Linked DNA regions of Drosophila melanogaster. The protein of the gene in region 2 interacts with the protein of the main gene of each other region in a pairwise test. Each region holds a gene or a part of one and is shown on either strand. Other genes may lie near its edges. The genes, in order: Vhl and awd.

Region 1 (3,652 bases), on a different chromosome or scaffold from region 2:
AGTACCCTGCTCCACGAAACGGCGCCTCAGTGGGTGACCGACGTGGTGATCGAGAAGAACATTCCCAAGTTCCTCAAAATACCGTTCTTCCTGCAGCCTCACCCGCAAATGACCAAGCCTGAACGAACGAAGAAGGTAGCCGTCCTTGACAGCAAACAAAACTCATGTTCTAACGCAATTTATATTAAATTTTTTAGGATCGTCTTGTGGCTAATGAATTTATTCAGTGTCGCAAGGTCTGCGAGCACGTGCTTGAAAAGGTGCTGAATGCGGAAACTACCCCAAGTGGGGGCAATGCTAACAATTCACTGCAGAATAGCCAGAGCGATGCTAATTCGGAGGGATCCCAACTGCCAGCTGAGGAACGAATTGAACTGTGGTGTAACGATGTGGTAAGACAAATGGACAAATCTCATTTAAAGGACCTTGTTCACCGCCTTTCCTTTAAAGGTTGTGGACCCCAACATGGACCTGCGCACGGTGCGCCACTTTATCTGGAAGCAGTCGACCGATCTAACGTTTCAGTACAAGACCAAACAGAATTTCAACTACGATGGTAAATAAGAGAGCCCACGCATTGAACAACACAAGAACACCTATCACAAACACAACGCATACTTGATTTCTGCAATTGCTATTGCCTAACCGAGAGTTGTGCTTATATATATCCGCCCCATAGGTTCGATCGGGGATAGCTTGGAGCGCGTGACGCGCAAGTATTGAACGCTGGCAAGTGATCTCCCGCCTAACCGAAGCAGTACCGATGCATTATTGAATGAGAACGAGATTGAGCAGATCGATTAACAATTTATATTTTTATAAGTTGATTTTGCAATATATTTGAGTTAACCTGCGATTCGTCTCATCTCTTCTCGACTCGACTCGTGGACAAACACAAACACATTCAAGGAGAATCTGTACGAGCGTTAACTTTAAATTTAAAAGTGCACCGGAGTACTTTTGTTTGTTCACTTCTCGTTAGGAATAAATATGTACTTCAGATTCAGACTTATAACAATTAGGCTTGCGACACACGTAGATAAGCATTGCAAAGGAGTAACTGCAGACATACCATTAAATCGTATTTGCATCTGAAGCAACTAGACCTAGAGTATTGCGCATATATGTATGTATGTAATATTCACACTTGTTTCACATTAGGTTTATACATAATTATTTACATAGAACATACATAGGTATAAGAAATCTGTTAAATATACAGAAAAATCAATGCAATGGTAGTAGCCCAACTTGTAAAGAGCTCTATGCAAGCCAATTTGTACATAAGTAATAAGCGAAAATCGAAAACCAGGATGGAAATCAATTAAAGTTATTAAATTATTTGGAAATCAAGCCTGTCTCTCAGTCCCTAAGATGATTACCCGCCCTCTTAACTAACAACTAGGAGTGTGCTCCTAACGCCGACGTCGCGTGCCCGCCACTCGGGAATAGGACTCGATGCAGGTCAGCAGGCTGAGCAGCTGTTGCTTCAGCGTCGAGGGTATGTGGTATCCGTGGATAATCCTCCGTGGCGCGTTGCTCGTCCGGATCAGCCAGCGGGCGACCAGCCAGAGGCAGTTTTCGCGCAGCGATCTCATCGGAAAGTGGATCAGCACTTCGCTGCGTACGTCAACCAGCTGATCCGGACTCTGCTGGCTCTTGGGTACCCGCACCCGAATCGGCTGAAAGATCCTCTGCGAGCGTACGTGCATCCGTTCGCCCGTGTAGTAATCCCGGAACAGCCAGCTGTGTGTGGTGAACGTGTTCACCCGCACCTCCTCGAAGGGCTTGAGGGTAAGGTACATGTTCTCCCGCTCCCGCTCGCACACCCAGTACAGATCCAGGGTGCGATAGGTGGTGTTTGCAAACAGCACGTACACCTCCACCTTTCCCTGATCAGCGCCCACCAGCTGCTGGCCGTCGCGGTTGTTCTGCGCTATTTGGAGCGCCATCTCCAGCAGGGTGCTAAGCCGATCTGCAATGGCTGCCAAATCAATTTTCGTTGTTTTACGTTTGCACAAGCCGTGGGAATTGGATTGAATCAAATCACAACAAGCTAACAACAAGTATAGATAAAATTCACTTCTTATCAGTTACGGTAACATTTTTCCTGCTGCGTGTCACTGCAGCTGGCCACACTTTCGATGAATGTCTTATCGATAAGGGGTAAATCAGCTGATTTGCCTCCGCCTCTCGCGAAAAGTAAACAAATAAACACCAAGAAATAACAAAATATGGCATTTTGCATAGCAGTTATTGGCAAGGATGTGAGTTTTATTTTTCATTTGAATACAATTAATTGCATGACAAATTCCCCACAGAACGCCCCCCTGTACCTGACCACATCCGATATGGAGCAGGAACTGGAATTGCAATATCATGTTAACGCCGCCTTAGACGTCGTGGAGGAGAAGTGCCTGATTGGCAAGGGTGCTCCGGAGTCCAAGGAGCTGTACCTGGGACTGCTCTACTCGACAGAGAACCACAAAATGTACTTGGGTGTAGTTATGCTGGTGAATTTGCAACTGATTGGTGGTTGATTTCATTACAGATACGGCTTTGTGACCAACACTCGGGTGAAATTCATAGTGGTCATCGACTCCAGCAACGTTGCCCTTCGGGAAAACGAAGTTCGAGCAGTGGGTATCCAATCTAACTATCTAAATGAAAGCCCCAAATACCTCCTACCCTCTGTATCTTCCAGATCTTCCGAAATCTCCACTTGCTCTACACCGATGCCATCTGCAATCCCTTTTACATTCCCGGCGAATCGCTGACTTCAAAGTAAGCGGGCTTCTCCTTAAAGAATATATAAGTTGCTCTTAATACGTTACTTTTATATCTGCAGGAAGTTCGATCGCGCTGTCCAGAAACTGATGAGCGGCACTGCCTAGCTGTAGATTAATACTGAACGAATAATAAAGCGAATTATTTATCAAATGCATACGTCTTTCTAGGAGGGATGTCAAGGTGGCCTGGCCAAGTGCCCGCTCCAAGCTAGACTCAAGAGAGATACGCACCGGAGATACGCAAACCGGTCGTTGGCTGGCTAGCCGTAGCCAAATATTATGCTAATTCGACATTTTTGACAAAAATAATTCGAGAATTAATTATATCTTTACAATGTGTCTGCTAGTTGACACATAGTTAGTTAATGTCTCCGCGTCAAACTCGTCTTCCGTCTGTTTCGGGCATTATTATGGGATTCAATGCGAACTTTAACTGAACGGCAATAACGAGGCACACATAAACATGTATTTTGTCTTATCTAATGCATAATTAATGAAATCAAATCCTACGCGTCTCTAGACTTGAACTTGGGCGCCACCGGCAGAGGTAAGCTGAGCATCAGTATCATATAAAAAGCAGGCAGAAGTTCCAGTTCGATATCAGTTAGCCTTCTCAAGTCTTTCAACAATCAACATGAAGTTCTTCGTAAGTGGCTTTATCGCAAATTGATCCTTTAATGATTCTAGCTGATTTGTTATTTACAATCCTTGTAGATTGCTTTCGCCTGCCTGTTGGCCGTCGCCCTCGCCAACGAAGATGCCAATGTTCTCCGTGCCGAGCAGCAAGTGAATGTTGACGGCTTTGCTTACGCTGTTGAGCTGGACAACTCTGTCAATGTGCAACAGAAGGGTGACCTTAACGG
Region 2 (3,299 bases):
AAAACAAAGAAAACGCCGGCGACGCTTATATAGACGAAGCCAACATCGGGTGATACGTGCAACCGTCAAATCTGAGGCTGCAGAACAGAAGTTCTCCATAGAACCGCCCCGAAATACCGCACTGGAACAAGCGAAGCACATATCCCTGCGAAAACAACGCGATGCTGCCTCCATTTTGGAGACCTTTGATCTTCTGGAGAAACTTTGCGAGTCTCGTGGAGGAGACAGAGCCGCCCTTTGCCAAAAACTGACCCACATGCGTCTTGTTTGGCGCAGAGTCCAAGAAGAGACTCAAGCTGGCCATGTCAAGGAGTCCAAGAAGGTGGCTTCACTTGAATCTCAATGGAAGGCTGTGTTCTTCGGCCGATCCTTGCCAACTCCCAAATTAAATAAGGGGAAATTTCTTGAAATTCGGTATGTCTAGGGAAATGCATTGTCCGGCGGGAGCTCCCTTTTAATTGCATCGCTTTTTCCAGCTCCACATGGGATTCTTACATAAGCTACTGTGGAAGAGGCTCCTCTATACCCAGAGGATGGGTGCTACCGCCAACAAAGCCTACAGCTCAGTGGATAGGCTATCGACTATCCTTAACTTAATATCATAGAAACCTTTCCAAAGCTCACACTCCTTATAAAGAAGCAAGATTATATAGTAATTATTGTGGAATTTTATTTCTTTAGAAGAATCAATCTGTATTCAGCTTAGACGAGGGCAGACAGTTAAAGTAGCCGTCTATTCGTAGATCCAGTCCTTGGCGGCCGGGGTCCAGGTGACCAGCTCCTTTTCGTTGAACCACAGGGCGATCTCCTTCTCGGCAGACTCGACGGCATCGGAGCCGTGGATGATGTTGCGTCCGACCTGAATGCAGAAGTCACCGCGGATGGTGCCGGGCAGCGAGTCGGCGGGGTTGGTGGCGCCGAGCATCTGGCGACCGGTCTTGACCACATTCAGACCCTCCCACACCATGGGCACCACGGGGCCGGAGTTCATGTAGTTCACGAGTCCGGGGAAGAAGGGGCGGGCGGACAGATCAGCGTAGTGCTTCTCCAGCAGCTCCTTGGAGGCCTGGTTACAAAACGGTTCGTTATCAGTTAATTGCAGTTCTGACCTCTAAACACATGTCATTCCGCGATGACGCCTGCACCCAGCCTTTGAGGTTAGGTCCGATGGCAACCCCGCGTGGGGCAACCCGTTTCCACGTATTTATATCTATTGATTTCTTCCTAATTCAATTATCCGCTTACCCAGGTGAACTTCAGGGCGACCAGCTTGAAGCCCTTCTGCTCGAAGCGCTCGATGATCTTGCCGACGAGCCCGCGCTGGACGCCATCGGGCTTGACCATGATGAAAGTCCTCTCCTTGTTAGCCGCCATTGTCGCCGAGATTACAGAAAAGAATGCCAAAATTGTGCCGAGCATCAGGAGCTTCATGTGTTCGCCGTTGCAAAAAAATCCCGAATACGAAATGCCGGCAAGGTGAATTGTGGGAAATCGTCAAGTGGTCACACTGGGCAGCCAGCCGCGTTCTTGAGTTTTTGTTTTTGTTGGGCGATTTAAAGGATAGGAAAATACTTGTTATTTAAATTCCAAAGCGGAAATTTGAGTGCATTGCTAAAGTATTCATATTTTTTTCAGTTTATAACCGCTCAAATGGGGCTGCCATGTCGCCTTGTACTTTGAATTTCAGAATGTATTCTGAATGCATTTCATCGAATAATTTAAAGCAAAAATAACGAAAACTCAATAGTATTATTTTTAATTACTAGACACATTAAAACATTTAAAAAAAAACAAAGAGTTGCCCACAGTTGATGATAAAATGCCCGTCAAACTAGGATAGTTACTAGGCACTCATTAGCATCAGCATTCCCACCAGTTGATTCATCCATCCAGCAGGTTAATCAAAAACCACAGGGAAGTCACGTTCAAATTTCTTTTTATGTCTCGATAAGATTAGGTCCATGTGATCACAGAAGTGACAAAACAATACAAGTTTACGACTAATATATACACAGCTGGTAGATGCAAATGTTCGGCGAAAATCACTTGGTCGCGTCTAGTTTGGCTAGGCCGTCGGCATATTGGAACTCCGGACTGTTCTCGTACTCGCACATGTCCAGGGCGATGACGCAGCTCTCCTTGACCACGCGCTTGTCGTCCTCGGCGTAGCGGTTCAAGATCTGAATGCAGTCCTCTGTGGCGATGGCGCCAAGGGCCTCGGCACACTCGTGACGCACCATTTCGTTTTCCAGGCGATCCTCCAGATTCTCTTGAAGGAAGGGAATGCTGCAGGGTTCTTGCAGCTGGCCCAGTACGAAGGCCACCTCGTGGCGGAAGAGGGCGGAAGAGTCCTTAAGTCCCTCGGCAATGGCCAAGACACTCTCTTCGGTGCGCAGATTGCGCAGGCTGAACATGGCCCTATATCGATCGAACAGGCTCTGCTGGGCATCCAGATAGATGGCCTTCAGCTCGGTGACGCTCTTGTCGCCCGCAGTTGGCGGTGAGGGATCAACGGAGGCGTAAGGGTTGCTGTCATCTACCTTTTGGCCACTCTGCAGCCAGCGGACGCGGTCCAGAGCAATGGCACATGTTTCGGCCACCTCCACTACCGGATCTTGTTTGTACTCCTCCAGAATTGGCAGCACATCTGGATGACCAATGGCGCCCATGGCCTCCGCAGCCTCGTGGCGCACCATCGGCTCCTGGGTGGTGTCCTTTAGCACCTTGGTGAGGATGTCTAACGCCTGTGCGTCCTGCATCTGACCCAAGCAGTAGGCCAGCTCATGTTTGAGAAGGGCCGAATCATCGTCAAAGGCTTTGCTGATCGCCTCGATGGCCGCTCCTCCGCCGATGTTCTTCAGCGTGAAGAGGGCTCGAAAGCGCTCTTTCAGTGGGCGTTCCTTGTTGTTCAGAACGCCTCCAATGGCCTCGATTTGCTGCTGCGAAACCATTTGTATGCGGTGTGGACTTATAAATAAAAAACTGCAACGGGCCGCGTGTGGTGTCGCAATGTGGCCATACACTCAGTACTTGGTAATACCAAAACTACAAGTAATCGATATGACGTGGCTATCGATGGACTATGAGTCGATGAAACGGCGCTGCCAACGCGTTTAGAGTACAAATTGTGCAGCACTAGCAAGAAGCAGTTTAGTTACGTTTACTCCGTAGAAGCGCGATACAAAAAAGTCAATAAAAGGGTGAAAAGCGAACGTTCTAGACACAGAAAGTATTCAAAAATACTGACTCAGTCCTGGCGCAGCATCGGTGACCAAAAGAGCGGCTCTTCACGGTGAAAA

Evidence for each region.
Region 1: the proteins of awd (region 2) and Vhl interact in a two-hybrid assay, tested with the Drosophila melanogaster proteins (one study listed by BioGRID).

Annotation. Positions count from the first base shown.
Region 1 is NT_033778.4:11,278,178-11,281,829, reverse strand, and holds Vhl (von Hippel-Lindau), read right to left. Parts: upstream 2,106-3,652; 5' UTR 1,953-2,105; coding exon 1,416-1,952; 3' UTR 797-1,415; downstream 1-796. Other genes in the region: CG9062 (uncharacterized protein), read left to right, coding at 1-135, 198-392, 451-556, 680-723; CG9067 (uncharacterized protein), read left to right, coding at 2,235-2,267, 2,322-2,491, 2,552-2,639, 2,705-2,784, 2,849-2,894; Cpr47Eg (cuticular protein 47Eg), read left to right, coding at 3,424-3,435, 3,504-3,652. UniProt on the Drosophila melanogaster protein: Involved in development of tracheal vasculature. Probably involved in halting cell migration at the end of vascular tube outgrowth.
Region 2 is NT_033777.3:31,744,525-31,747,823, forward strand, and holds awd (abnormal wing discs), read right to left. Parts: upstream 1,554-3,299; 5' UTR 1,420-1,553; coding exon 1,246-1,419; intron 1,067-1,245; coding exon 734-1,066; 3' UTR 648-733; downstream 1-647. Other genes in the region: CG1896 (uncharacterized protein), read left to right, coding at 1-414, 477-597; nero, read right to left, coding at 2,043-2,951. UniProt on the Drosophila melanogaster protein: Major role in the synthesis of nucleoside triphosphates other than ATP. The ATP gamma phosphate is transferred to the NDP beta phosphate via a ping-pong mechanism, using a phosphorylated active-site intermediate.